Linked DNA regions of Macaca mulatta. The protein of the gene in region 4 purifies or fractionates together with the protein of the main gene of each other region. This does not show direct contact. Links are inferred from orthologs where the notes say so. Each region holds a gene or a part of one and is shown on either strand. Other genes may lie near its edges. The genes, in order: LARP7, LRRC41, NTMT1 and DRG1.

Region 1 (7,371 bases), on a different chromosome or scaffold from region 4:
AGCACTCTGGGAGGACAAGGAGGCAGGATCACCAGAGGTCAGGAGTTCGACAACAGCCTGGCCAACATAGCAAAACCCCATCTCTACTAAAAATTGCCTGGTGCAGTGGCTCATGCCTGTAATCCCAGCACTTCAGGGGGCCAAGGCAAGCAGACCACCTGAGGTCGGGAGTTCAAGACAAGACCAGGCTGACCAACATGGAGAAACCCCGTCTCTACCAAAAACATAAAATTAGCTGGGCAAGGTGGCACATGCCTGTAATCCCAGCTAACCTGGGAGGCTGAGGCAGGAGAATCACTTGAAGCCAGGAGGCAGAGGTTGCACTGAGCTGAGATTATACCATTGCACTCCAGCCTGGGCAACAAGAGCGAAACTCTGTCTCAAAAAATAAAATAAAAATATAAAAATTAGCCAGGCGTGGTAACACACGCCTGTAATCCCAAGTACTCAGGAGGCTGAGGCAGGAGAATCACTTGAACCTGGGAGGTGGAGGTTGCGTTGAGTTGAGATCACACCACTGCACTCCAGCCTGAGCGACAGAGTGAGACCAAAAAAAAAAAAAACAACAACAAAAAACAAACAAACAAAAAACAAAACTAGTTTCATTAGCCAAACTCAGAAAATGTTACCCACAATAAGGATGGTTACAAAAAAAAAAAACACTTCTATGAAGTTTTACCAGAAAGGATCTCGAGTTTCCAGCAGTGTTTCTTGCTAATTTCTGTATATGCATTTATTACTGCTTGAGCATCCTCAGGAGTTTTAAATCTAGCATGGCATTCTGTATCCCCTTCAAGCAAATCAACATAAAGAACTTCTGAGATTGCTGCCAAAGTATCCTGCATTAGAATTAAGTAGAAAGACAAATAAAATTTAAAATGTTTCACAATAATTCTAAAACTATTCCAATGGTTATGCCAGAATATATTATGTAAATAAAGCATTTTGCAGACTAATGAGGAGCAAATATCCTATATCAAACATTTCTTGTAAAGCATGTTCTTAAAAATAGATTTGAATAATATCAACTCTAACAATTTATTTTCCTTTATTTTCTTGAAATCACATCCGTAAAATCTGAACTAGAATGGGAATATTCTATAAGGACAACAGATTTGTAGAGCAGAAAGCAGAAATAGTGTCCCCCAATCCCCAAATCAGGAAGGGTTCACATCTGGGAGTAGTTAGTATAAGGAATAAAATTTAAAAAAAAAAAAAAAGGATTAAGGGAGGTTTGTTTTTACTCACCTGCAGAAAATCACTATGACTTTAAAATATGTGTACAAATCACTCAACTTTTAATAACAACTCATGAAAAACAGTTTTACTGAACCTAAGATACTAGGTTTCCAAATTGTTCAAGAGCTCTTACTTTCTGAAAAAAATACCTAAGCAACCTCTTCTAAACAAGTTGTGGTCACCCAGCAAGGAAAAGTTTTACCTACACTGCCTGCTGTGAGGGCAAATTAACCAGATTCCTGCATTCTTAATCAACTTTTTTTTTTTCCCTCACAGCAGGTTTTACAGAGTATACAATGCATTTATGCAGGAATGTTACACTAATTCCTAATTCATCAACTTCCATTCACAAAGCTAAAGAAATAACTGCAGATTCCTAAATGGGGGAAAAAAATCTTTCTTATCTTGCCTCACTTTAGTTTTAACCTACATTTTCAGGACACAACTAATTTAGATTATGTTCAAATGTTGAATTTTTAGATGTTTGATTTATGGAAAGAATTGAGCAATACCTGGGAGTATTATTTCATCATAGAATAAGACAAGTTTATCAGTTAACAATAAAAAATATATAATAAAATCTATGAATTTCTAGAAGCCAGGGACCAGATCTTAACTCATCCCAACACTCAGCAAACTAGCACAAAACAGGCATTTGGTAACTGTTTGCCAAATTAAAAAAAAAAAAAAGAACTGCAGAGACATATACTTGCTAGTCCTTCCCACTTCTTTATCTAATTAATTAGTACCAAATTTAGATATAAAGCAAGTAAAAAATTCAGTATTGTTGAAATTTGAATGCATTCAGTACTAGTAATGAGTTTTATAACTGACTTCTGAGCATATTCAATTACTACAACTCAAAAGATATTTACTAAATATCCATTATAATGTCAGGCTAATCTCTTGATTTAAAACCCTCAGAATTTAAAACCCATAGAAGGACAAATTAGCCTAGTAATCACATGGGCAAGTCACAGACAGCTGTAACCACCATCACAGCTCAGTTTTTGTTTCAGCAAAATGTAAGTAACTACTAACTGGATTAATGCAGGGATTGATTTTATGATTTTGATGATCATAAATGATGAATTTGTAATTGATATAGTTACCATTTAAATAATAAAAGTTATTTAATGAGTGATTACAAATAACTGAGTAATTTTTTTTATTAAATGTTTTGCAATCTGATTAACCAGAGCGGTATTTACATCCCTCAATTTTCAGCTGTCTCCTGAAATGCAAGTTGGTAATAGCAATTTGGATTTGGCCAAATCCTTCACCAATATTGGAAAGAGAATCAAAATTTGTTTCTTAGTGACAGCTATAGGATTGTAGGACAGCATTTCAGATAAGGAGTGCTTACAGATAAACAACCACCTCAATGATATTCAAGTTAAAACCTGTGACTGATGAGTCTATGTGAAACCAAAACAATATACTAAGTGATGATGAATGTCAGTATAAGAAAATACTTAAAATATGTGGTATGTTACAGAGCATTTCACACTTTTTAAAAAGAAAAGGATTGACTTAAATGGGTCACAGGCAGGGTAAGGGTAAATAAGATACGGTACTCTCACATAAAAGTATATACTTACTTTTCCCTAATAGAAAGAAGTATTGCTACCAGTGTGGTATAAAAGGCTATAGAAGATAGACTGTACAAAACGAAAAAAAGATTATAAACCTGTGTGTACAGCAATTTGTAGCGTAAATTATATAGAACTATGGGTTTTTTGGCACATGTGTGAAAGATTTCTATAGGTCTTCAAAAATATTTTACACTTTTCTATAATTACAATTTTAAAGATAATCAGCACATAGGTAATACAAAAAAATAAATCCGTGCCAATAAAAATAAGCAAAAGTTACAATTTTCCTATAAAGAAGGATGTTTAAACTGTGCTTACTATAAAATGGACTCAGTGAAGAATTTCAGTCTCTAGTTTTTGCTTCAAAATTAAACCTAAGAGTTACCATGGAATTAAAACTGTACAGGTAGTTTACCATAGAGATACAAATTCTAATTTGATTTATCTTCCATATTCAAAACATTATCACACAGGGAAGTTAAGACAAGAAAGGAACAAATACCCTACGGGCTCAAAATCATTACCCGGACTTGTTTCCTGCCAGGTAGAGGCTCTGTGCTAATGATCTTCACAATCACTCCACTCACGAACTGTGGTCCTGTTGCATTAACTTTCTCCTGGGTGGGACACTCTTCACTGTTGGCTGTTGATTAGAAGAGGAAAAAGACCAGCACTAAATCTCTTACACTTAACAATTTAATACTTGGGAGGACTATCTTAGAATAATTCCTGAGGCAGATTTAAATAATTTAAAACGTATTTAATTTTAAAATAAAGTTTATTTTATATGTCATACTGCTTATTTCAAAATACCATGAAATAAAATCCAGAAAGGTTTATTATTCTACATGCAAACTGTTACTGCTAGAAGAGCACTGGTAGTCTTTAAGTTTGCCCCTTCTCCCTGCACAAAGGAACAGCAAATTTTAACTCAATAAAGTTAAAAAAAAATTATAGGATACTGTTTTAAATAATTATTCCAACGTGAGCATCATTTATTTTTACAAGAAATGATAATTTAAGATGTATCCTAATTTTGAATTCGTAAGAATTTTGCTTTAACTTATTCCTGCTTGTGGTTCATACTACAGAATGAAATTACAGGTGAGAACTACAATCTTCATTCCTACAAACTTGTTCAGTCTACAAACTGCACTCATGTGCTTAAATGAAAACTGTAGAGAAAACTCAGGTTATTTAAAAAATTGTTTTAAATGAGCCTTTTAAATGTTCTTATATCAAGAGTAAATAACATATCTGGATAACTTAACAAATCAAGAATTGTTCTAATAATGACACAGAATAATCAAGTTTTTTAAAATTAAAGTTTATCTTGTAACAACTCAGAGATAGCATTTTCATACATAAGTACATTATAAGTCAAAACTGTACATTATAAGTCAAAACTATCAGTGATCTTTACTTTTTTCATTTTTCATTCCAGTCTTTTGAGGTACTCCACCGTCTGTTTCCATTTCTGACTCTGATTTTATTTGGGATATTGTTTTTTTTAAAGAAGCCATGCTAGCTTTTTGTAGCGCTAAATACTCTTTTTTCAAATCCATCCATTCGCTCCTGCAAGGAAAGAAATGAAATAGTGATTATAGACGACTAAATATAAAAAAAAATATTAAAATATAAAAAGTAAATATGGGAATATCTAAATATATACATTCACAATGACTTGGAGTAACTCCTCCACCCAACTTTCTTGTTTCTTTAAACACATATTCAAAATATTTCCTGGGTTCTAAAGACATTTAGCAAATAAGCTAAGGGAGTTCCTCTTCCCCCAATATTCAGATTAAACGTTTTAAGATTGCCAATTACATTTTTGAGTGTGTCTGAAGTATTTTAATTTATAAAAGTAACATTTTAGCATTGATTCCTTAACTAGTAACATTTACTAAATCAGTCATCTCTGTGGGAAAAGCCCGAGATTAAAGATTTGTTAAACTGCTTCCAATTTGAGAGATAACATTCCTTAGTATTTACTTGAATCAAAAAGAATTTCTAAGTAGAACAAAACACCCCATGGAAGCATTCTATTTATTTACATATATTTAACATGTAGATGTTTCTTCAAACAGCTAGAGTTCCTCCAGATAGAAACACAATGCCTCTCTTGGCTTAGTGGGAGCACTCATTGTTACCCTAATCTATGCCATCAAACAAGCAGATAGATTTTCCTTTTTTTTTTTTAAAGAGGAAGATATCTTGTGGTAATGGTTTTAGCTGTTAACATTGACATCTGTATACTTCCAAAAAAAAAAAAAAAAAAAAAAAAGGATCCAGACCCACCCAGGATCATACATTCCCCAAGAGCTGATACATTAAAATAACAAAAGGCCCTTGTAATGATTCTCTGAGATAAAAAGGCAAAAGGAATTCAGGAGTTAAGAATAGTATAAATAGAAGTGGCTGAAGTCCCTGCCTTTTACCCTTCTGGAGGAGGACAGGAATCTTTGGGAACTAATTCAGGAAGGTAAGGAAATATTTTTCTTCAAAAGGTATGCCATTTTGTTTTCTTTCTCCTCAGCTTTAACTACTCTCAAGTCCCAAAGAAGTTGTATGTGGGTGGGCTCCCTTCAACTTTAACATGGAAGTGCTTTCTGTGACTTTAAAATAAGTAAGTGCTTCCATGTTTTAGTAGGAGTGAATCCAACTTACTTCTCCAAAATAGAACATGCTAACTTCACTCTCCTTAAGAGGTTGAAGGGATCCCCTTTGCTTTAACATGGGGGTACCTGCTGTGTGAAACAAAAGTAAGTGCTTCCATGTTTCAGTGGAGGTGTCTCCAAGTCAGCACACCTTTTGTTAATTTTTTTTGTTACTGTGTTTCAAGCTTACTAAGCTTGTTACAGGTTAAAGGATTCTAAGTTTGTCCAAGACTGGGCTTCCCACCACTTAAACGTGGATGTACTTGCTTTGAAACTAAAGAAGTAAGTGCTTCCATGTTTTGGTGATGGTAAGTCTTCCTTTTACATTTTTATAAGGTTTTTAGAAAAGGATTTTATTCTCGTTTATTTAAGCTTTATTTTGTATTTTTAAGTCTGTTAAGGTGCCCCCTCTACTTTAACATGGAGGCACTTGCTGTGGTAAGACAAAAATAAGTGCTTCCATGTTTGAGTGTGGTGGTTCCTACTTAATCATCGATTGCGTTAACGCCCACATTGTGTGCAGTTCTTTGCTACAGGCCACTACTGTTGCTAATATGCAACTCTGTTGAACACAAATTGGAATTGCACTTTAGCAATGGTGATGGATTGTTAAGCTAATGACAGGATTTAAACCACAGACTTACTTTGATAGTACTCTTAATGGTATAACTTCTTCTCCCATTTTATGTCTCTCTTTATGTTTTTTCTTGTGTTTCCTTTTTGTTTTTAAGAGAGAGCTGTCTTTTAGATCTCCAGTATCCTTCTCCTCTTCAGTAGAGATTTCTATATCTTGAAATAAATAAAAAAGCCAGTTAAGACTTGCGGCTGTGAAATGGGTGAAACAGAAGCTTAATTTATATAAATAAAACCTTGCAGTTTACCTCTATTTTCCTTGGAAGCTTCTGAAGGTTCCTTAATGATGTCTTTCTGAATAATTTTCTTTACTTTTGATCGCGGACCCAGGGACTCTGCATCTTCAGAGCTGCTTCTCTTCCTCTTGCCTGTTCTGACTTCAGGTAAGCTCGATGCTTCAACTCTGTCCCGCTTTTTCTTTTTCTTTGAGGATTGCTTTTGGGGTTCAGTAGACTCAATGTCAGAGCCCTCAGATGTGGGCCTGGATCTTTTCATTTTACTGATGCTGGTGTTGGTTGTGTCCATATTTTCCTCTTTGGCTTGGACATTGTCTTCCTTTTTCATTCGGCCCTTCTTCTTCTTTTTCTTTTTCTTCTCTTCTGTAAAAGTGCCATCATTAGTTCATCTTACTTCAATTACATCTACTTAAATATTGAAAAATACTCACCCACAACTCTTAAGGCTGGAATGGGCTTATTTTTCACTGTTTTAGGAAATATGCCAGGTTTTCTTGGTGCTTCTTCTGGTGGGTTGTTAAGAAACTGAAATGATTGAAAAAAAGTTTTACTATTTTAATACTTGTTATATCTATACATTTTTTTTTTCTAGGATCTGGACCTACCTCAATTGCCTTTGCTGCTTGTTCTTTTGTTTCAAATTCCACAAACGCAAATCCCTTTGGATCTCCAGTAGACTTATAATGTGGTATACTGATATAAACAACATTGCCACATTTCCCAAAGACTCTTTCAATCCAGCTGTGATTAACATTTTTGGGAAGTAACTCCTGTGATAAATTAAAAGCAATATTAAATAGTTTTTTGCAATGCTTATATTTTCAGAATGTCAATAAGTTTTTAACTTAATTACATTGTTTCTGTGCCAGTTTCTGACTGGGGACCCGGGCTCTTAAGCTTACCACATACACAGTGCGCTCATCCTCATCTTTTGGTCTTTCCCCCAGAGGTTTTTTCCTCCTGATTCTGGTGCCTTCCAAATCAAGCTTTAAAAGAGTATTATTACAT
Region 2 (7,371 bases), on a different chromosome or scaffold from region 4:
GACTGTTGGGCCACCAAGCCTGGGGCCTCTAAATGCTCTGAAATGCTTTGAGCCAAGAAGACAGGATAATAAACATTCTTTTCCAGAAAGCTTTCTCCAAGAGAAAAATATAATCTTTATCACCTGCTGGTCAACTATACTGCTTGTGAAATACTGGAACAAAGTGAATCTGATGTTTCCTTAAAGATAGCAAAAAGCAGTTACTCTTTTCTAATATTCTTGAGTCTGCTTCTCTTCCTCATAAGGCCTGGTGTCCTCATTCTGAACTTCAAGGGTTGCAGTCCAGATTTGGAAGTGAATAAGCTGAAGGAGATGGGGCTCAATGTTACTGAACCCAGTGCATCCCCAGAAATTAAATCTCCAATTCCTGACATTAGCTTTTTTTCCACCTGTTATTTGGCCTCATTCACCATAGAAGGCCCAGTTCAAATACTACTTCCTAGAAGAGACTTTCTTGTTGTCTCTCAACCTCCTTACTATCCTGTGTTACACCACTTATCCTATCATATGTGATCTATTTGTAGATTTCCCTATTAAACTGGTAGGTCCTTGCCGGGCACGGTGGCTCATGCCTGTAATCCCAGCACTTTTGGAGGCCAAGGCGAGCAGATCACCTGAGGTCAGGAGTTCGAGATCAGCTGACCAACATGGAAAAACCCTGTCTCTATTAAAAATACAAAAAAATTAGCTGGGTGTGGTGGCACATGCCTGTAATCCCAGCTACTCGAGAGGCTAAGCCAGGAGAATTGCTTGAACCCGGGAGGCAGAGGTTGCATTGAGCCATTGCACTCCAGCCCGGGCGACAAGAGTGAAACTCTGTCTCAAACAAAACAAAACAACTGGTAGGTCTTTAAGATTAGAGGCGGCCGGGCGCGGTGGCTCAAGCCTGTAATCCCAGCACTTTGGGAGGCCGAGATGGGCGGATCACGAGGTCAGGAGATCAAGACCATCCTGGCTAACACGGTGAAACCCCGTCTCTACTAAAAAATACAAAAAACTAGCCGGGCGAGGTGGCAGGCGCCTGTAGTGCCAGCTACTCGGGAGGCTGAGGCAGGAGAATGGCGTAAACCTGGGAGGCGGAGCTTGCAGTGAGCTGAGATCCGGCCACTGCACTCCAGCTTGGGCGACAGAGCGAGACTCCGTCTCAAAAAAAAAAAAAAAAAAAAAAAAGATTAGAGGCTGCATCTATTCTTCCAAGATCTGGTACCTGGTTAAGTTTCAGTAAATGTTTATTGAATTAAATCTACCCCGTCACCTAGTTATGGGGGAGTAAAAGAAGCTCTGCTTAAATGAGAGCTCCAGTGATTTATATCTGTATCAGTGAATAATAGAATCCCAGGGCTAAAAGGAGCCCTAAAAGTCATCTTGTGCAACCCCTTTTACAATGCTGAATCCCCTGCAGAACACCTATGTGTCAAGGAGTTATCCAGACTCCATTTGAACTTAGTGATGGGAAGTTTATTACCTCTAGAATTAGCTTGTTTCATAAGCTCAGGGTTTAAGCTTTACATAAACTTCAGGTTAGCAAAAATGTATTTTCCATTAGCTTCCATCCAGAACAAGTCTATTAATCCCTCCTTCATGTGACAGCCATTCATATATTTCAAGATGGGTCATGTTTCCCAAGTCTTCTCTTTTTCAGGAAAAACATCTCCAGTCTTCCCAATCTGACTCACATAATGTGGCTTTGACTTCTTTCTCCATACTCCATGGGTAGCCTGACCATTGCAGAGCTAGGCAGGACTGTTGACTGTTGTCCACCTTGTCCTTCAGCCTATACTATATTTACACTAGTTCACACAGCTCAAGGTATAGTCATTATGAGTGGCTTCAACATATTGTTGACTAAACTCCCTTAATCTTTTTTATACAAGCTGTTACTAAGCAGACTACTTTATCCCACATCCTGAGGCCATGCAATTGGAACTTTTAAAACTCATTGAAGTATTGGTGTATTCTATTAAATTTCATTTTGTTAGATTTGACCACTGCATCAAGAACTCTAGGAATCCTGGCTCTGCCATCCATTGTGATCACTAACTTTCCCTGTTTTGTGTCCCCTGCAAATATGGTGAGCAAGCAATTCAGTGACAAATGCCAAATGGACCAAAACCTTGTGACAAGCCATCAGAGCCCTCCTCCCACATCCATTCCATCACTGCCTCTGCACTTTACCAGTACCCAGCTTGTGTTTGTGTGCTATTCCTGCTTTTACCATGCAAAATCAGGCTAGTGTTCTACCTGATAACTTACTTCCAAACTGGAAGGCCGTGTCTTCATCAGTTCATCCCAGAGTCGGCGCCAGATGGCCTGAGTGGAGAGGCCTGTAAGGAGAAATATCACACTTGGCTGCTTGCTGGCCACCATAAGTACATCAACCTTTAATGTTGTCCTCCGGGTTCACAGGAGCAATATGGCAGAGTGATTAAGAACATTGGCTCTAAAGACAGATTGCCTGGGTGTGAATATCAGCAAACTACACTCCAGCTATGTGACTTTGGGCAAGTTACTTAATTTCTCTGTGGTTCAGTTTCCTCATCTGTAAAATGTTAATAACAGCTATTTCATAGGGTTGTTGAAAGGATTAGAGTAAATGAGTTTTTCTAGGTAAAGTGCCTAGGACAGTGCTTGACACATTAGGGTTCAATGTTAGCTGTTAACAGATGTGTCTAATGAGCGGAGGAAGCTTGGTAAAATAGAGAAACTAAGATTCGGAAGATCTGGGTTGTTCTGGCTTTGCTATTAATTGTGGTGTGCCTGTGTCTCACTTTTATCAGTATAATAAAGATCATATACTTGGCTTTGTGTTTCACAGGACACTGAGGAATGAGGAAGAAAAATAGGTGTGAAGGTACTTTTTGAAAAGCATGAAGTTCTAAGGCCAGGTGCGGTGGCTCAAGCCTGTAATCCCAACACTTTGGGAGGCCAAGGAAGGTGGATCACGAGGTCAGGAGATTGAGACTGTCCTGGCTAACACGTTGAAACTCCGTCCCTACTAAAAATACAAAAAAAATTAGCCGGGCGTGGTGGTAGGCGCCTGTAGTCCCAGCTACTACTACTGAGGCAGGAGAATGGTGTGAACCCGGGAGGCGGAGCTTGCCATGAGCCAAGATTGCACCACTGCACTCCACCCTGGGCAACAAAGCAAGACTCCGTATAAAAAAAAAAAAAAAAAGCATGAAGTTCTAGCAGGTATCAGGTGTAATATTTACCTGAAGAACATTATGGTGCCTTGCTCATAATCATTGACTGAGAAAGAGACAGAAAGATACTCACCTTTCTTGAGGGCAGTTTCCTCAATCCTCTCCAAGTAATATATATTGAGCAGAGGTAGGATGCTTTGAAGTATTGGGCCTGGGAGGGCTACAAAAATCAAAACAAAAGTTTACTTTTCCTCCCCTCCCCCTCCCCCTCAAGAGGGTTCCAAGCATTATTTATTCTACTGGAAAGGAAAATGGAAGGGTAGACTTCTCACTTGACAAATGGAGCCTCTAGAAGCTAATCTAGATCTGTTCCAAACTCTAGTCCACTTATCTTCAGCCACTCAGTTGGAAGCTGGAATTTCAGGGGCCAGGGTGAGATCATCCCACAAAACAAGCTGACATGCTAAATGAGCTTGACATGCTTTTTAGGAGCTGGTCAGTTCACTTTGCCCAAGCAAAATGAACCATTTTGCATTGAAAAGCACCTACTGAATATGTGTGATAAAAGGTCTTTCATAATCTGCCCTGCTAGTATCAGCTCCCTGCTTTGCCTCCTACATTTCAGCCACACTTAACTACTTTTTCATTTACCTAACATGCTGCTTTCTGCCCCTGTACCTTTGTCATGCTGTTCTTTCCAACAGGAATGTCCTTTGTCATGCTGTTCTAATAGGAATGTCATTGCCACTTTCACTATATCAACTACTCATCTTTCAAGTATCACATGCCCTTTATTAAGTCTTTCCTGAATTCCCTTCCCATTCTTCCAGATTAACCACTACCATCCTTTGGGCTACTGCTATATCCTGAATTAGTACTTTCCTATGAAGAAGAGAAACAATTCATGTCTCTAAAGTCAATATACCTTTTTTTTTTTTTTTTTGAGATGGAGTGTCGCTTTGTCGCCCAGGCTGCAGTGGCGCGATCTCGGCTCACTGCAAGCTCCGCCTCCCGGGTTCATGCTATTCTCCCGCCTCAGCCTCCTGGGTAGCTGGGACTACAGGAGCGCACCACCACGCCCGGCTGATTTTTTGTATTTTTAGTAGAGACGGGGTTTCACTGTGTTAGCCAGGATGGTCTCGATCTCCTGACCTCGTGACCCGCCTGCCTCAGCCTCCCAAAGTGCTGGGATTACAGGCGTGAGCCACTGCACCCAGCCAAAAGTCAATATATCTTAAAAACAACCTGCTCTTGCCAACTTCTCTAGTTCTAAGAGCTGTTATAGTATAGTGTCTAAAGGGTTTGGCCTCTAGAGTAGGAAAAATCTGGGTGAAATTCTAACTATTTAGTTAAATGTGAATCCTTGGACAAATTATTTAAGCCTCTTTAAGCCTTTGTTTCTTCAACTGGAAAAAAATGGAGGCCACGCACAGTGGCTCACACCTGTAATCCCAGCACTTTGGGAGTCTAAGACAAGAGGATCGCTTAAGCTCGGGAGTTCGAGGCTACAGTGAGCTATGCTTACACCACTGTACTTGAGCCCAAGTGATAGAGTGAGAACCCATCTCAAAACAAAACAAAAATTAGCAGAGTGTGATGGTGTGCACCTGTGGTCACAGCTACTTGGGAAGCTAAGGTGGGAGGATGGCTGGAGCCCAGGAGGTTGAGGCTGCAGCGAGCTGTGCTTAGACCACTGCACTCCAGCCTGGGTGACAGAGCAAGACCCTGCCTCAAAAAATAAAAAATAGGTGGGATGCAATGGTTCACACCTGTAATCCCAGCACTTTGGGAGGCCAAGGCAGGCAGATCACTTGAGGTCAGGAGTTTGATACCAGCCTGACCAACATGGTGAAACCCCGTCTCTACTGAAAATACAAAAATTAGCCAGGTGTAATGATGCATGCCTGTAATCCCAGCTACGTGGGAGGCTGAGGCACAAGAATCGCTTGAACTCAGGAGGTAGAGATTGCAGTGAGCTGAGATGGCGCCATTGCACTCCAGCCTGGGCGACAGAGCAAGACTCTGTCTCAAAAATAAAATAAAATGGAGATAACAGTAATTAACTCATGATATTGTTGGGAAGATCATGCTTATAATCTGTTTAAAATAATGCCCAGCCATAATAAGCTCACTAAATGTTGGTTGTTATTTTTATCCTGTCAGTGGCATCTCTGTCCAATCAAGAACAAGTCAAACTCACACTTGTAATCCCTGTAATCTTTGGAGGTCGAGGTGGGGGACATTGCTTAAGCCCAGGAGTTTGAGACCAGCCTGGGCAACATGGGAAACTCCCGTCTCTACCAAAAATACAGAGAAAATTAGCCGGGTGTTGTGGGGCACACCTGTGGTCCCAGCTTCTTGGGAGGCTGAGGTGGGAGAATTGCTTGAGCCCAGAAGATAGAGGTGGCAGTGAGCTGGTATCATGCCACTGCACTCCAGCCTGGGTGACAGAGTGAGACCCCATCTCAAAGAAAAAGAACAAGTCTAAGATCTTGGAGTATACCAAAACTTCCGCCCCAGGGTCTCTTTTTATTTTTATTTACAGAATAACTGAATCTTGACATCAAGAATCTAGTATAATTCTTTGTACATTGTATGTCCTCAATGTACCTGCTGAATGAAAGTGTTAATTCCCTATGCTTTTACACACGAATGTAGTCCACATCACCTTTCATCTGGTCTATTACAACAGCTTAACTGCTCTCCTTCACTTCAGTCTCTATCCAGTCCCTCTTCATCCTGCTCTTGGTGATGACATTACCCTCTTCGAAACCCTTGGAGGTCTCTCTGCTGCATTCATGATAAAGTCCAAACTCCACATCCTGGTATTCAAGGTATAGTATACCTTATTCTACTTAAGTTTCCTCATTGTACCCTTTCCTGCTGCCTCTATACCTCTGCTGCCCCAACTCCTTACACAAAGCGATGCTAGTTCACTACCTCCAGGAAGACTTTCCTGGCTGTTAGCCCACACTGAGACTTTCCTCCAAAATAGTAATGCTTAGCAGGCCTCTTCCTTGGCTATTCTCCTAAAAGGCCTCACTTGATTCAGCTTTTTCTGGTCTAGGCCCACAGGAGCTCTTCCTCCCCTGTCTCCTCTCAACCTCGCTGGGGGCTCAGCCAGTAATGGGATGGTGGTATATACAGCAGTGATGGGGGAGGGAGAAGGGGAAATGGAGATTCAGTAAACTGTCAATTGTTTTGGGGGGAAGAAGCAACAGGGGAAGAAGTTCCTCAGAGCCCCTCCAACCTGCTCTCCTCTAGTTAGCCATCCCTTCTCACAGCCACAGGAATTCTCATCCCCTCCTTTCTCCATTCTTCTTAAGCCGGGATTTTCCTGGCTTCTTTCTAGCCTGCACCTTTAATGCTGCTGCTTCCCAACCTGGGCCTCCACACCCAGTCATCTTCCTTTTTAGCCAGTCTTAGCATCCCAGAAGCTCCAGGCAGACAAGCCAGACCCCGTCTGCCTTCTTCCCCATGCCCTAGGACTTTTCTGAGCTCCCTGCTCAGCTCAGAACGGAGACTTTCCTCATGTTCGCCATGGGTGGGCCTGCCCCTTGTCTTCTCAGCCTCTGGCTGGCCTGGAGCCTCCAGTGTCCCCTCCGCACACAGGCCCAACTTCTAACAGCCTCTTCCACTACCACTATGCAGGACACTCCGGCCTCACCGTACTGGGCTCCACTCCCACAGCCAAGGCCCTCCCCGACCACCCTCCAGCTTATCCCGGAGCTGCAGCGCCCCCAAACTCCAGGGCCTTTTCCCCACACCCCCTCCTCATGGCATAACTCAAACCCCCCGCCCTGCAACCTCGAGTCCTCAAAGTCCTCACTCCTGTCCTGACCAGGGCCTTCCTCCTGCAAAGACGCCACGGCCACCCGCAAGGCCTCCTGGTGGAACCTCCCCCGCGCCGCCTCCAGGCCCGGGGCCTGTTCTCCTGCCACCCTCCCCGGCAGGCCTTGGCCGGGCCTGCCACCTCCTCGCCCAACTCCAGCCCCGGCCTCCGGACCCCACCCTCAACACCAGCAGCCTCGCAGGCCCGAGGCCTCCCCTATCCCCAGCGCGGCCAGGCCTGCTTGGCAGAGCCTCGCTTTCCCTCTTTCACTAGCCCCACGTCGCGGACTCGTTTCCTTCGTCAGTGGCCAGGCCGTGGCCGGCGGTCCCCAACCCACAGCCCCGCCTCCCAGCCCAACTGGCCGGTTCGCCCTCCCCGGCCGTTCATCCCGGCGCC
Region 3 (8,089 bases), on a different chromosome or scaffold from region 4:
AGCAGCTGTGGGACAGCACGGGCCATCAGAGGGCGGAGAGTGGAGGCGGGGAACACAGTGTGGAAGGTGAGCTGGGAAAGGCAGACGGGGCCTGGATGAGGGCGGCCCCGAGTGCATGCTGGCACCAGCTCTCAGCTGATGTGCTTCCCACACTGCCAGGGCCTACCCTGAAGGGAGGCAGAGTGAGAATGGCAGTGGCCGTGCTGGCTGTCACAGGACAAACAGCAACAGTGGGAGGCAGGAATCCCAGCAGCAGCTGCTGCTACATCCTGATAAACCCATGATAAAGGGAAAATCTCCTCGGTGCAAAACGCGCAGCTGACTGGGAGCTGCAGCTCACCACCTCGCACGTGCCGCCTCCACACAAGGAGAGCAGGGGGCTTCTAGCAAATGCCTGTCGCCAAAGTTGACAAATCGTAGGTCCAAGACCGTCTGCCTGACCCCTGGAGCTACAGGGTCAACACGTAAGAGTCCACATGTGGAACTTGGGCACAGTCCTCAAACACAACTCAAAGCTTAAAACCCTAAGACCCAGGAATGCTCTAGGGGCTTCAAGAGAAGTGGTCAGAGGGAAACAGGAAAACGCCCTGAGAAGGAGCATGAGGCCTTCGGGAAGCAACTATGAGGAAAGAGAAGAGAAACTAAACACAAGACAAGCTGGAGAATTTTCTTTTCTTCTTTGTTTTTTGAGAAAGGGTCTCAGTGTCACCAGACTAGAGTATGGCTCAGGTGACCCTCCCATCTTGGCCTCCAGGGTAGCTGGGACTACAGGCACACGCCGCCACACCTGCCTAACTTTTGTATTTTCTGTACAGACGGAGTTTTGCCATGTTGCCCAGGCTGGTCTCAAACACCTGGCTGCAAGTGATCCACCTGCCTCGGCCTCCCAAGGTGTTGGGGTTACAGGCGGAAGTCACTGCACTCAGCCAAGATTTTTCATTGGTCAAATTTGTTATTGGCCCCCAGTACTATCTTCTGCACTACTATATTCTGAACCTGACCTGAAAGAGAAGGAACTTTCCAGAAGCAGCAGGCCCACCCCAGCCAGTCAGCTCAAGAATACTTCTAACGAGGCCGGGCGCCATGGCTCACGCCTGTAATCCCAGCACTTTGGGAGGCCGAGGCAGGCGGATCATGAGGTCAGGAGATCGAGATCATCCTGGCTAACACAGTGAAACTCTGTTTCTACTAAAAATACAAAAAAATTAGCCGGGCACGGTGGCGCGCACCTGTAGTCCCAGCTACTCGGGAGGCTGAGGCAGGAGAATGGCCTGAACACAGGAGGTGGAGCTTGCCATGAGCCAAGATCGCGCCACTGCATTCCAGCCTGGGCGACAGAGCAAGACTCCGTATCCAAAAAAAAAAAAAAAAAAAGACGACTTCTAACGGATGCAATTCTCCTTCTGTAACTGGTCAGCCTTTTCCGGAGACCCAGCCAGCCAGTGGGGGCAACAGGGAAAGGCCTGTTGTGGCTGCTGAGAACAGAGGGGACGGGGTCCCTCCTCTCCAACACCGTGCCTGACTCCTTCAGCAGATTTGAGCTTTCTTCACTGACAAAGTCACACGCCAGCTTTCTGAGGGTCCAGAGAGAGCTGACAAGACCCATGTGCTCTACCGGGGCCCGGTTCTTCTTAGATCCGTGATTGGGTCTTTTCACCCTCAGCAGAACCCTTTGGCTGTGCCTAGAGAAGTCTACTTAAACCTCTCTTCAGATTCTTGTTTTTTTGAGATGGGGTCTTGCTATGTGGCCCAGGCTGGCCTCAAACTCCCGGGCTCAGGCCATCCTCCCTATTCAGCCTCCCAAGTAGCTGAGATTACAGGCGTATGACACTGGGCCTGGCTTCCCTCTTCAGATTCTTGAATCCACTCGCAGACTGACCCCTCACTTTACCGTTCACACACAGGGTTTGGGCCACAATGAAGAAAGGCAGCCATCACTGCACCAATCAGGGAGCCCTTTGGGGTAACAGGCTGGGGAGGACCTTAGTTCTACTTATTGCACATAACACCTTCCCCGCAAGCTGACCACAGAGCTCCCACACTGGTCTCCCAGCACTGGGAACAACACTGCTGGAAGGAGAAAGCAGCCTATGGCTCAGAAACCCGTCTCTATCAAAAACACACACATTCTAGTACCTCCCAGCTACTAGGGAGGCTGAGGTGGGAGGATCACTTGAGCCTGGGAGGTCAAGGCTGCAGTGAGCCATGATCCTGCCTCTGCATTCCAGTCTGGGCAACAGAGTGAGACAGTGTGTCAAAAAAAGAAGAATTAATTCTTGTTCCCACCAGACCTGCCAATCCTCAAGACTGCTAGATCTGCCATGGTGGCTGACGGGGAAAAGGGCCACCAACCTGAATGTCACCATGTAGCCGGGTTTGGTGGCTGCTATGGTCTGACGGGGTAAGGACCAGGTCAGGTGGGCTGCCTGCCCCTCTGCCAGCAGGCACCAGAGCAACCATGTCACAGCCCTCCATCAGTCACTCAGAGAGGATGGCATTCAAAACTACAGCTGGGTGCAGTGGCTCATGCCTATAATCTGAGCACTTTGGGAGGCTGAGGTGGGAAGACTGCTTGAGCACAGGAGTTTGAGTCCAGCCTAGACAAGAGCGAGACCCTGTCTCAAAAAATAAAAAACACTTGGTGGCTGGGAAAATTAAAGACAAAGGTTAAAAAACGAAATACTACTCTTCCACACCATGCTAGCACAACTCCCATTCAGACTGGAGCACGGCGAGAGCAAGCCCGTCTCCCTCTCACCACCCACCAGTCTTGGTAAACTGAAGGTTTTGTATCCAGTTCTATCTCTCGCCTGGCCTGGGAGCTCCTAGAGAGCAATGGCAACATTTGAGATTTATCACTATGCTTCTCTTGCATCCCACGAAACACAGATATTCAACAGAAAGTTAATCTCTGATCAAATGAACAGAATAAATCTGAGGGCAAACGCGTATCGATTAGACCAGTGCCTGACACCAGGTGGGCACTGACTAATTGGTTGCCAAATAATACAATGGGCTTTGTGCAGCTATAGCCATTTTCCACTTCTAAGAAAATCCTACAGACAAAAGTCCAACCATTCAAAACTGGTAATACTGAAGGCTGTTACCGACAACATAATTTTGTGCTTTACCAAAAGCCTTGTAACATGATTCCTTTAAATGTCAGGGTCCCCCAAATAATCTAATTTACAAGAATTCCACCTACACGCAAATTCTAGGAAAAAGCCAGGGGAGGCACATATTGGCAGGGAAATAGCGAGCCTGACTTTGACATTTGTCCTAACAGCTGATTCATTAATAAATGGGATTCCTAGGGTCCTGGCTACATTCTGTCCAGATTGCAGTGGGGCAGGAGGAGGTCCCTAAGAGTCCGAGGGAACAGCAAGGTCGGTCGGCCAACAGCAGGAGGTCCTGCTACACTCTGCTCCAGAGGACAGATGCCATGTGGCTGCAGGGCCTGGGAGGAGGCCAGGAGCACCCTGGCTTTGTGTGAACTCTAGGCTAGCTCAGAGAGGAAGAGAAACCCCTCACGCCTGGTAAATGCCTGCTCAGCCAGTAAATGTGATCCTACATCCTTCACGGTCACCTAGCTGCTGCCTCCTCCTCCCCGCCAAGGTGTTCAGACCCACGCAGCTGCCCCAGTTACTGCGTCTCTTCTCCCACGACCCATGGAAGAAAACGGTGCTGAAACTGTCACCGGCAGACTTTTGCAGTCATCTCATCCTACTCATGTTAAGTCTCTACGGAAAAGCCTGCCTAAAAGTGACCTCCACCCTCTAGCAGCCTACAGGACAGAACCCATCCTCCCTGGATCTTTGTGGACAGCAGCAGGCCACATGCAAATGGCAGAGTGCTCTAAGAAAAGGAAAGAAGGGAAAAAGGGAGGGAAGAAGACAAAACAGGGGATACATTTAAAAACTAACAAAGACTCTGATGGAGTCGGATGAACCAGATCTGAATCTTGGCTCTGCTCACCAGCTGTGTTAAGCTCAGATAAGACATCAAACCTCACCATTCCTCAGTTCATCTATAAAATGGAGCAGTAATACCGACTTTACAGAAAGCCTGTGATTAAAAGTGCACACGAAAAGCTTAAAGTGCTTTGCACAGTGCCAGGCACATATTCTCTCTTGAGCTTAGAAATTCTCCGTCAAACGAGATTCTTGTCAACTCTGCGCACTATGAGGATCAAATGGGAAAAGTGCCTTAGAATGCCATAGAAGCTGTACTGTTGGACACACCTAGGGGACTGTTACTGGTATGCTGGGCGGCCAATCCAGCAGACTCAAACAGCTCTGCAAATCAGCCAGAGTGAGGAGTGAGCTTCCTCTGTCTGTAAGCACAGAACCCCCACCGAGATTTTTTAGATGCTATCTTTGTGATCCCAGGGCTTCCGGCCTCCACCAAAACACTCCATGCGTTACTTCCAACCCCCACGCAGTCCTCAGTTTACAGAGAGAAAAACCAGCACACTAAAGGAAACGATGTGTCTTTAAACATACGAACAGGAAGCCGAGAACAGAATTAAGGAGGGATTCCAGGCTCCTTATCCCAGCCCTGGTTCCTCCCAGAGGCTCATCCCATCTCACTGGGCAATCATTCTACACACCACAACCACCGGTTACACTGTCCCTCCCCGCTGTCAGGGCCTCTGACACCAGCTGTGGCAATCACTTAACAATAGAGAGGAGAAACCGAAGTCCAGAGAGAGAGATCACACAGTTGGTGGGCAGCAAAGCCTGGGCTTTTCGATATGGCAGCCTCCCTGCAGACAGGCTGACCTTGGCCGCAAGGGTTCTGGGGGTGTCTTTTTTGAGCTGCACCTGTGTCGGGCTGGCGCTGGGGCGGGACCCAAGGTTAAATACGACGGCAACTTCTGTGCAACGGGCACTTCACTGTGCCAGGCTCTGAACTGGGCATTTTACCGATTCCTCCCATCCATCCTCCGAGTGGGCGCTCTCCATATCCCTGTTTCTCGGAGGGGAAACAGGCTCAGAGAAAGGGATTTGCTGCGGTCTGGGGACCCGGGTGGGGGAGTGCCCTGCCTGGGCTTTGAGTGCCTTGACTTTCCTCCTGTACCCCAACCCATGGACTGACTGCTCCGTAGTCCCTGCCCAGGTCCGGCCCGTGGACCGCTTGGGAACGCGCACGTGGGGCCCGTGCCGGCCCTCGCGCACGCGCCGGGTCACGTGACGAGCCGGGGCCCACAGGGCGCCGAAGCAGTTAGGGGTCGCGGCCTCCCCTCTCCCGGCGGCTGCCTACCCTTCGCACCGCCTCGCGCTACTCACTCCGCGCGGGGGCTCCCGGGACCGAGAGAAGAAGATGGGGAAGAGGAAGGGAGGGCGGCAGCGGCGGAGACCCCACAAGGTAACCGCAGCTCCGCCACACCACGACCAGACGCGACAGCTCGCGGCGCGCGCTGCCTTTGTCCGCTAACGTCACTTCCGGGCGTTTAGGGGCGGGGCCACGGCTGGCCCCACCTCCTCGTTCAGCTCGCCCCCCTCCCGCGGGCTCCGGATTTAGCCTGACTTCTTTTGAAAAATAATTTAACTTAATTTTTTTTTTTTTTTAAATTGAGACAGAATCTTGCTCTGTCAACCAGGCTGGAGTGCAGTGGCGCGATCTTGGCTCACTGCAACCTCCGCCTCCCAGGTTCCAGCGATTCTCCTGCCTCTGCCTCCAGAGTAGCTGGGACTACAGGTGTGAGCTACCACACCCAGCTAATTTTTGTATTTTTAGTAGAGACGGGTTTTCACCATGTTGGCCAGGCTGGTTGCGAACTCCTGACTTCAAGTCATCCTCCCGCCTCTGCCTTCCGAAGTATTGGGATTATAGGCGTAAGCCACTGCGCCCAGCCTAATTTGACTGACTGCCTTCCTTCCTTCCTTCTTTCCTCCCTTCCTCCCTCCCTCCCTCCCTCCTTTCCTTCCTTCCTTTCCTTCCTTCCCTTCCCTTCCTTCCTTCCTTCCCTCCCTCCCTCCCTCCTTCCTTCCTTCCCTCCCTCCCTCCTTCCTTCCTTCCTTCCTTCCCTCCCTCCCTCCCTCCTTCCTTCCTTCCTTCCTTCCTTCCTTCCGAGACGGAGGCTCGCTCTGTTGCCCAGGCTGGAGTGCAGTGGCCTATCTCAGCTCACTGCAAGCTCAGTCTCCCGGGTTCCCACCATTCTCCTCCCTCAGCCTCCCAAGTAGCTGGGACTACAGGCGCCCGCCACCACGCCCAGCTAATTTTTTTTGTATTTTTAAAGTAGAGATGGGGTTTCACCGTGTTAGTCAGGATGGTCTCGATCTTCTGACCTCGTCATCCGCCCGCCCCGGCCTCCCAGAATGCTAGGATTACAGGCGTGAGCCACCGCGCCCGGCCTAATTTGACTTCTTTAAAAAAAAAATTAGAGACGGGGTCTCACCCTGTTGCCCAGGCTGATCTTGAATCCTGGCCTCAAGCAAGGCTTCCACTTTGGCCTCCCAGACTGCTGGGATTACAAGCGTGAGCCACCGCGCCCAACACAGGTTACAGCTCAAAACTTGACTAAATTGACTTTTGGGAATCTGGAAGGACCTCCCGAACTGAAAAGAGCCGCGGCGTTGCCCTCTCTTCATCCCCATCACGAACAACAGTTCGTTTGGAGGCTGCAGGCTGGGCTTTGAGTAAGAAGGGGAAAAAAGCCATTGGTCCTCAAATCCACCCATCTCCATTAGCATCTTAAAATAATACCGACCCCCCAAAAATAAATAAAATAAAAAATACTCTTGGCAGTGCCATGGGATTCCCACCCAAATAAGCAGAACAAGCCCATGAAATTTCCATTCCAAAAGCATGGCCCTTCCCTCGGCTCCTCCCATGCAAAGAAATTCTGGAGCTATCTCCGAGGCAGCAGTGATGGAAACACGAGCTTGCAGGTGGGTAGAGCCTGTTAACATCTCCGAGCTTCAGTCTCCTGCCAGAAGAAGTGGAGCAATGTAATCATTACTCAACTTCTGATGCTCTGAGAGGATTAAACTTGTGGGACACTGCACACCAGACCTTCAGCTCAGCACCTGCAGTGGGTTCTCAGGAAATGGAAGCTATTATAATGACAATATTCACCCTAAGGTCATTTTTCCTAAACTATTAATAACATCCTGGTTTTGGCAGGGTGCAGTGGTGCACAACTGTAACCCCAGCATTCTGGGATGCCAAGGCGGGCAGATCACCTGAGGTCAGGAGTTTGAAACCAGCCTGGCCAACATGGCAAAACCCCGTCTCTACTAAAAATACAAAATTAGCCAGACGTGGTGGTGCATGCCTGCAGTCCCAGCTACTCGGGAGGCTGAAGCAGGAGAATCGCCTGAACCTGGGAGGTGGAGGTTGCAATGAGCCTAGATCACACCATTGCTTTCCAGCCTGGGTGACAAGAGCAAAACTCCATCTCAAAAATAAATAAAATAATAATATTCTGGTGTTAGGTTTCCAATGCCTTCCTCTGAGCAGTGCACACAGAAGGTGCTTAAAGTGTGTTTGCTCTAAATGTACTGAAAGCTACGGGAGAAAGGGGATGCCAAAAAGCCACATCTGCATTGAGTCCGCAGAACGTGTGTATGTGCATATTATTTGGCATCCCTTCTAGACTATTCTAGGTCCTAACTGCTACCCCTGGTCTGAGCAAGCTTCATTTTCTGTGTCTCTACGCAAAGGAATTGATCCTGGGCAATTTCAATTGCTGGGGGTGTCTGGAATCCTCCACCAGGGGGCAGCTCTGGTCCAAACTCTGCATGCCTAAAAATCCAGCCCTATCTTATTTCCTGTCAACAGAAGAGCAAGCCCCTTCCCCACACCCAGACTCCAAGGCCTTCCCAGGGCTGGCCAGCTCCCTGACCTCAAAGCCTCTGGCATCTCTGAATTCCCAAGCCTAGCACATAGTAGTTGCTTGATAAATGATTGCAGAGTGCAAGGTCTGGAGGGCTCTTTAGAAACATCTAGTTAGGCCGGGTGTGGTGGCTCATGCCTGTAATCCCAGCACTTTGGGAGACCGAGGCGGGTGGATCACGAGGTCAGGAGATTGAGACAGGAGATTGAGACCATCCTGACTAACACGGTGAAACCCCATCTCTACTAA
Region 4 (7,371 bases):
GATGCCTTGTCTCTAGCATTATAGCCCCATCACTGGCCTTCCTGCTGCTATCCTGCTGCTCTGTAGTATCTTCTCACTACAGCTAGAATGATTGTGTATAAGAAGTCAGATCAGTCTAGGCATGATGGTTCATAATTGTAATCCCAGCACTTTGGGAGGCTGAGGCAGGCAGATCACTTGAGGCCAGGAGTTCCACATTATCCTCGCCAACATGGTGAAACCCCATCTCTACTAAAAATACAAAAATTAGCTACTTGGGAGGCTGAAATGGGAGGATCACTTGAACCTGGGAGGCGGAAGTTGTAGTCAGGTGAGATGCCACTGCACTCCAGGCTGCGTGACAGAGTGAGACTGTCTCAAAGAAAGCAAACAAAAAGAAGTCAGATTATGTCATTTCTTGGCTGTATCTTCTGATGTTTTCCCGTATTATTTGGGATGACACCCAAAGTCTTTACCGTAAATGACCTGACCCCTGGCTGCCTCTCTGACCTCTTTTCTATCACTTCAGTCACTGGGCCTAAGATATCACTGGCCGTCCGTGCGCGGTGGCTCACAGTCTGTAATTGCAGCACTGTAATTCCACAGTCTGTAATTCTAGCACTTTGGGAGGCCGAGGCAGGCGGATCACGAGGTGAAGAGATCGAGACCATCCTGGCCAACATGGTGAAACCCCACCATTTTTATTAAAAATATAAAAATTAGCTGGGCATGGTAGCGCGTGCCTGTAGTCCCAGCTACTTGGGAGGCTGAGGCAGGAGAATTGCTTGACTCTGGACGGCAGAGGTTGCAGTGAGCCGAGATCGCACCATTGCACTCCAGCCTGGTGACAGCAAGACTCTGTCTCAAAAAAAAAAAAAAAATAGCTGGATGTGGTGGTGTGTTCCTGTAGTCCCAGGTGTTTGGGAGGCTGAGGTGGGAGGCTCTCTTGAGCCCAGGAGGTCAAGCTGCAGTGAGCCGTGATCATGGCACTGCACTGCAGCCTGGGCAACAAACAGAGACCCTGTCTCAAATAATAATAGTAATAATAAGGTCAGGCGTGGTGACTCAAACACCTGTAATCCCAGCACTTCGGGAGGCTGAGGCGGGTGGATCACCAGGTCAGGAGATCGAGACCATCCTGGCCAACATGATGAAACCCCGTCTCTCTACTAAAAATACAAAAATTAGCTGGGTGTGGTGGTGTACGCCTGTAGTCCCAGCTACTCAGGAGGCTGAGGCAGGAGAATCGCTTAAACCTGGGAGGCGGAGGTTGCAGTGAGCCGAGAGATCGCACCACTGCACTCCAGCCTGGCAACAGAGCAAGGCTCCGTGTCAAAAAATAATAATAAAAATAAAATCATGGCCAGGCATGGTGGCTCACGTCTATAATTGCAGCACTCTGGGAGGCTGAGGCGGGTGGATCACTTGAGGTCAGGAGTTTGAGACCAGCCTGGCCAACATGGTGAAACCCTGTCTGTACTAAAAATACAAAATGTAGCCAGGCATAGTGATGCATGCCTGTAGTCCCAGCTACTTGGGAGGCTGAGGCAGGAAAATAGCCTGAACCGGGGAGGTGGAGGTTGCAGTGAGCTGAGATCATGCCATTGCATTCCAGCCTGCATGACAGAGTGAGACTCCATCTAAAAAATAATAAATAAAATCAGGCTGGACATGGTGGCACATGCGTGTAGTCCCAGCACTTTGGGAGGCTGAGGCGGGCAGATCACCTGAGGTTGAAAGTTTGAGACTAGCCTGACCAACCTGGAGAAACCCTGTCTCTACTAAAAATACAAAATTAGCTGGGAGTGGTGGCCCATGCCTATAATCCCAGCTACTTAGGAGGCTGGGTCAGGAGAATTGCTTGAACCCAGGAGGCGGACGTTGTAGTGAGCCGAGGTCTCACCATTGCACTCCAGACTGGGCAACAAGAGTGAAACTCTGTCTCAAAAAAAAAAAAAAAAAAAGTCTTACCACTGAGGCTGGGCATGGTGGCTCACGCCTGTAATCCCAGCACTTTGGGAGGCCGAGGTGGGCAGATCGTGAGGTCAGGAGTTCAAGACCAGCCTGAACAACGTGGTAAAACGCCATCTCTACTCCATCTCCAAAGGAAAAAAAAAAAAAAAAAGAATGAGGGTCAGGTGCAATGGCTTATATCTGTAATCCCGGCAGTTTGGGAGAGTGAGGCAGGAGGATTGTTTGAGGCCAGGAGTTCAAGACCAACCTGGGCAACATTGCAAGACCCTGCCTCTACAAAAATTAAAAAAGAAAAAATAGTCATGTGACATGGCACACATGTGTAGTCCAAGATATTCAAAGAGGCTGAGGCAGGAGGATCAGTTGAGCCCAGGAGGTAGAGGTTATAATGAGCTATGATCATGCGACTGCACTCCAGCCTGAGTGACAAAGCAAAAGCCTTTCTCTTCAAAAAAGAGAATTTAAAAAAATGAGGAACTAGAAAGTTGATGGAAGCAGAATTTTTTTTTTTTTTCCTGAGATGGAGCTGTTACCCAGGCTGGCTGGAGTGCAGTGGCATGATCTCGGCTCACTGCAACCTCTGCCTCCCCGGTTCAAGCGATTGTTGTGCCTCAGCCTCGTGAGTAGCTGGTATTACAGGTGTCCACTACCACGGCCAGCTAATGTTTTATTTATTTACTTATTTTTGGAGATGGATTCTTGCTCTGTTGTCCAGGCTGGAGTGCAGTGGCGCAATCTCAGCTCACTGCAACCTCTGTCTCCCGGGTTTAAGCGATTCTCCTGCCTCAGCCTCCCAAAGTGCTGGGATTACAGATGTAAGCCACTGTGCCTGGCCAGTTTTTGTATTTTTAGTAGAGTCGGTTTCACCATGTTGACCAGGCTGGTCTTGAATGCCTGGCGTCAGGTGATCTTCTCGCTTCAGCCTCCCGAAGTGCTGGGATTATAGGCGTGAGCTCCCATTCCCAGCTGGAAGCAGAATTTTTTTTTTTTTTTTTGAGACGGAGTCTCGCTCTGTCGTCCAGGCTGGAGTGCAGTGGCCGGATCTCAGCTCACTGCAAGCTCCGCCTCCCGGGTTCGGGCCATTCTGCTGTCTCAGCCTCCTGAGTAGCTGGGACTACAGGCGCCCGCCACCTCGCCCGGCTAGTTTTTTGTATTTTTTAGTAGAGACGGGGTTTCACCGTGTTAGCCAGGATGGTCTCGATCTCCTGACCTAGTGATCCGCCCGTCTCGGCCTCCCAAAGTGCTGGGATTACAGGCTTGAGCCACCGCGCCCGGCCTGGAAGCAGAATTTTTGACAAATGAATTTTAATATAGAAATAGGCCAGATACTGTGGCTCATGCCTGTAATCTTGGCACTTTGGGAGACCAAGGCAGGAGGATTGCTTGAGGTCAGGAGTTAAAGGCTACAGTGAGCTATGATCATGCCACTGCACTGCAGCCTAGGCAATAGAGTGATACTCTGTCTCAGTCAATATAAATATAAGTATGTATTAATAAAAATAAGATATTCAGGCACAAAATACTACATTTTTTTTTTTTTTGTACAGATTGAATCTTACTTTGTTGCGCAGGCTGGTCTCAAACTCCTGGCTCCAATCAGTCCTTCTGCTGCAACCTCCCAAAGTGCTAGGATTATAGGCAGGAGCCACTGTGCTGTGCCAAAATAATATATTTTATATGATTTCATTTATATGAAATTCTAAAAAGTGCAAACTATGGTGGCAGAAAGCAGATCAGTGGTTGGCTGGGAATAGTGGGGAAGATTGAAAGGAGTTAGTTACAAAGGAATGCTGTAGGTGATGGAAATATTCCGTGTCTTGATTGCTTAGGTGGTTACACAGGTATATACATTTGCCATCGAACTGTGTGCTTTAACATGGATATAATTAAAAAAAAGTTGTACCTCATTAAATTTGGTTTAAAATATGCTAACCAAGGGTGGGCGCAGTGGCTCACGCCTGTAATCCTAGCCCTTTGGGAGGCTGAGGTGGGTGGATTGCCTGAGCTCAGGAGTTCAAGACCAGCCCAGGCAACATGGTGAGGAAATCCCATGTCTACTAAAATACAATTAGCTGGGCATGGTGGCACGTGCCTGTAGTCCCAGCTACTCGGGTGGCTGAGGCAGGAGAATCGCTTGAACCCGAGAGGAAGAGGTTGCAGTAAGCCAAGATTGTGCCACTGCACTCCAGCCTGGGCGACAGAAAATGTATCAACTCTTGGGCAAATATGTGCTGATTTCATGGCATACAAGGCAAATTGACTTCTGGTATAACTCTTTTGTAGCTATAAGAACTTCGTGTATGTATGTATGTATGTATTACAAAAAAATCCTTTGACACTTAAATGTAGGGGGAAAAACACCTCTACTTGAGTATTTGGGTTAGTTAAGGCTTTATTGAACTTTCTTGGGTATGTTTTTTTCTTACTCTTCAGTGGCCCGAACCTGTAACTTGATCTTGATTGTTCTGGATGTCCTGAAACCTTTGGGACATAAGAAGATAATTGAAAATGAGCTGGAAGGCTTTGGCATTCGCTTGAACAGCAAACCCCCCAACATTGGCTTTAAGAAGAAAGACAAGGGAGGCATTAATCTCACAGCCACTGTAAGTGGGGAAGACGACATGGGGCAGGCTGCTGCAGGAATAGGAGTGGGGAGTGGATTAGGGTGCATGGACATTGACATTGGAAAATTTCTTGGCTTTTCCCTGCACTAATTGAGATAGCACAGTGACTTCATAATGACTGACAAGAAAGACTTCAAGATTAGGGTAGGAGCCAGTCTCAGACTTACCTTTGCTGCTTATTTCCTCTTTTGGATTATCTATTAGGGATGATATGGGAGTGTGAACCAATATTATGCTTGCATAAAGTACATGGCCGCCAATGTCTTCTGTTTTCATTCATTTAACACAAATTTATAGAGTGCCTACCATGGGCCAAGCATTATTTTAGGCTCTGAGCAGGAATGGAAGAGGGAATAGTGAAACCCCCTGCTTTTATTTTCTAGTTGGATAGAATAGCAAATATTAATGAGTAAAATATAATGTATTAGTCAATGATAAATGTGAGAACACAAAGTAGGGAAAGGAGATAGAGTGTTGGTGTGAGGGTTGCGGTTTTAAGAACGTTGGTCAGGGAAGTCTTCACTGAGGTAACATGAAGGTGTGAACCAAGTGGATATCTTGAAGAAGAGCATTTGCTTCATGCAGAGGAAACGTCCAAGTGGAAAGGTACTGAGGCAGGGCATGTCTTCCCATGTTTGAGGAACAGCAGAATGAGCAAGTAAGAGAGTAGTAAGAGATGAAGTCATAACATAGGGACATATGTGCTTTTACTTTACAGGAGATGGGTAACTTGGTTGAGTTCTGACCCACAAACATGATTTGACTTAGGTTTTAGTGGAATAATTCTGACTCTTATGTTGAGAATAGATTGCAGTAGGTTAAGAGCAGAAACAGAAATAATTTAAGAGGTTATTGCAATAACCAAGAAGTGATAGCTTCCTGGACCAGGGTTGTGACAGTGAAGGAGTTGAAAAGTGGTTGGTTGTGGAAAGATTTTGAAATAGCTGATAGTAATTACATCTGGATTGGGTATGCATTGTGAAAGAAAGAGTCAGAGATGCCTGTTTTGTTTTTTGTTTGTTTGTTTGTTTACTTATTTAGAGATGGAGTCTCACTCTGTCTTGCTCTGTCACCCAGGCTGGAGTGCAGTGGCGCGATCCTGGCGCACTGCGACCTCTGCCGACCAAGTTCAAGAGATTCTTCTGCCTCAGCCTCCTGAGTAGCTGGGATTACAGGTGCCTGCCATTGTGCCCGGCTAATTCTTGTATTTTTAGTAGAGACGGGGTTTTACCATGTCGGCCAGCCTGGTTGATCTCATTCTGTCGCTTAGGCTGGAGTACAGTGGTACAATCACTGTTAGCTCAAACTCCTGGGCTCAAGTGACCCTCCTGCCTCAGCCTTCTAAGTAGCTAGGGCTATAGTCACATGCCTCCAGGCTTGGCTTTTTTTTTTTTTTTTTTTTGGTAGAAACGGAGATTTGCCATGTTGCCCAGGTTGATCTTGAACTTTTGGCCTCAAACTATCCTCCTGCTTTGGTCTCCCAAAGTGTTGGGATTACAGGTGTGAGCCACCATACCCAGCCACTTTTTTTTTTTTTTTTTTTTGTACTGAGCTAAAAAAAAAAAATGAACTCTTTTTACTAAAATGGTAGGACTTTTGGTAGAGTAGGTTTGGAGGGAAGGAGAAGATCAGGATGTTAAGTTTTAGATGCCAGTTAGACATCTAGGTGTTTCTGTCAAGAAGGCATGTGGGGTAGGTTGGGCACAGTGGCTCATGACTGTACATCTATAATCCCAGCACTTTGGGAGGTTGAGGCAGGAGGATCACTTGAGCCCAGGAGTTCAAAACCAGCTTGGACAACAAAGCGAGACCCCATCTCTACTAAAAAAAAAAAAAAAAGGCATGAGGAATTATTTAGGCTGCATGAGGAATTACCTAGACTGGATATATAAATTTGGTGATTATCAACTTTAATGTCATGGACCTAACTGAGATCACCAAGGATGTGAGTATAGATAGAAAAGAAAAGAGAGTCAGGCGTGGTGGCTCATGCCTGTAATCCCAGCACTTTGGGAGGCCAAGGCGGGCAGATCACAAGGTCAAGAGATCGAGGCCGGGCGCGGTGGCTCAAGCCTGTAATCCCAGCACTTTGGGAGGCTGAGACGGGCGGATCAGGAGGTCAGGAGATCGAGACCATCCTGGCTAACACGGTGAAACCCCGTCTCTACTAAAAAATACAAAAAACTAGCCGGGCGAGGTGGCGGGCGCCTGTAGTCCCAGCTACTCGGGAGGCTGAGGCCGGAGAATGGCGTAAACCCGGGAGGCGGAGCTTGCAGTGAGCCGAGATCGCGCCACTGCACTCCAGCCTGGGTGACAGAGCCAGACTCTGTCTCAAAAAAAAAAAAAAAAAAAAAAAAATCGAGACCATCCTGGCCAACATGGTGAAACCCTGTCTCTATTAAAAACACAAAAATTAGCTGAGCATGGTGGCACACGCCTGTAATCTCAGCTGCTCAGGAGGTTGAGGCAGGAGAATCGCTTGAACCTGGGAGGAGGAGGTTGCAGTGAGCCGAGATCACACCACTGCACTCCAGCCTGGCAACAGAGTGGGACTCCATCTCAAAAAAAAAAAAAAAAGAAAAGAAAAAAGAAAAGAGAATCGGCCAGACACAGTGGCTGATGCTGAGGCTGAAGTGGGCAGATTACCTGAGGTCAGGAGTTGGAGACCAGCCTGGCCAACATGGCAAAACCCTGTCTCTACTAAAAATACAAAAATTAGTCAGGCATGGTGGCACGCGCCTGTAATCCTAGCTACTTGGGAGACTGAGGCAGGAGAATCGCTTGAACCCAGGAG

The links.
Region 1: the proteins of DRG1 (region 4) and LARP7 purify together in Homo sapiens (affinity purification with mass spectrometry; 3 studies listed by BioGRID and IntAct, with this or other methods). This does not show direct contact. The link is inferred for Macaca mulatta from reciprocal best matches to the Homo sapiens genes DRG1 and LARP7.
Region 2: the proteins of DRG1 (region 4) and LRRC41 purify together in Homo sapiens (affinity purification with mass spectrometry; 3 studies listed by BioGRID and IntAct, counting the BioPlex papers as one, with this or other methods). This does not show direct contact. The link is inferred for Macaca mulatta from reciprocal best matches to the Homo sapiens genes DRG1 and LRRC41.
Region 3: the proteins of DRG1 (region 4) and NTMT1 purify together in Homo sapiens (affinity purification with mass spectrometry; 3 studies listed by BioGRID and IntAct, counting the BioPlex papers as one, with this or other methods). This does not show direct contact. The link is inferred for Macaca mulatta from reciprocal best matches to the Homo sapiens genes DRG1 and NTMT1.

Annotation. Positions count from the first base shown.
Region 1 is NC_133410.1:121,875,407-121,882,777, reverse strand, and holds part of LARP7 (la-related protein 7), read right to left. Parts: intron 7,350-7,371; coding exon 7,266-7,349; intron 7,134-7,265; coding exon 6,969-7,133; intron 6,889-6,968; coding exon 6,795-6,888; intron 6,727-6,794; coding exon 6,376-6,726; intron 6,284-6,375; coding exon 6,139-6,283; intron 6,100-6,138; exon of another isoform or gene 6,032-6,099; intron 5,970-6,031; exon of another isoform or gene 5,902-5,969; intron 5,804-5,901; exon of another isoform or gene 5,735-5,803; intron 5,627-5,734; exon of another isoform or gene 5,559-5,626; intron 5,492-5,558; exon of another isoform or gene 5,416-5,491; intron 4,410-5,415; coding exon 4,258-4,409; intron 3,478-4,257; coding exon 3,359-3,477; intron 840-3,358; coding exon 680-839; intron 1-679. UniProt on the Homo sapiens protein: RNA-binding protein that specifically binds distinct small nuclear RNA (snRNAs) and regulates their processing and function.
Region 2 is NC_133406.1:194,277,525-194,284,895, reverse strand, and holds part of LRRC41 (leucine-rich repeat-containing protein 41), read right to left. Parts: intron 3,556-7,371; exon of another isoform or gene 3,476-3,555; intron 3,364-3,475; coding exon 3,277-3,363; intron 2,325-3,276; coding exon 2,254-2,324; intron 1-2,253. UniProt on the Homo sapiens protein: Probable substrate recognition component of an ECS (Elongin BC-CUL2/5-SOCS-box protein) E3 ubiquitin ligase complex which mediates the ubiquitination and subsequent proteasomal degradation of target proteins.
Region 3 is NC_133420.1:17,992,750-18,000,838, forward strand, and holds the start of NTMT1 (N-terminal Xaa-Pro-Lys N-methyltransferase 1), read right to left. Parts: upstream 5,429-8,089; 5' UTR 5,289-5,428; exon of another isoform or gene 5,179-5,288; intron 5,148-5,178; exon of another isoform or gene 5,046-5,147; intron 2,736-5,045; exon of another isoform or gene 1,246-2,735; intron 760-1,245; exon of another isoform or gene 1-759. UniProt on the Homo sapiens protein: Distributive alpha-N-methyltransferase that methylates the N-terminus of target proteins containing the N-terminal motif [Ala/Gly/Pro/Ser]-Pro-Lys when the initiator Met is cleaved.
Region 4 is NC_133415.1:20,088,735-20,096,105, reverse strand, and holds part of DRG1 (developmentally-regulated GTP-binding protein 1), read left to right. Parts: intron 1-4,327; exon of another isoform or gene 4,328-4,386; coding exon 4,387-4,556; exon of another isoform or gene 4,557-5,643; intron 5,644-7,106; exon of another isoform or gene 7,107-7,173; intron 7,174-7,371. UniProt on the Homo sapiens protein: Catalyzes the conversion of GTP to GDP through hydrolysis of the gamma-phosphate bond in GTP. Appears to have an intrinsic GTPase activity that is stimulated by ZC3H15/DFRP1 binding likely by increasing the affinity for the potassium ions.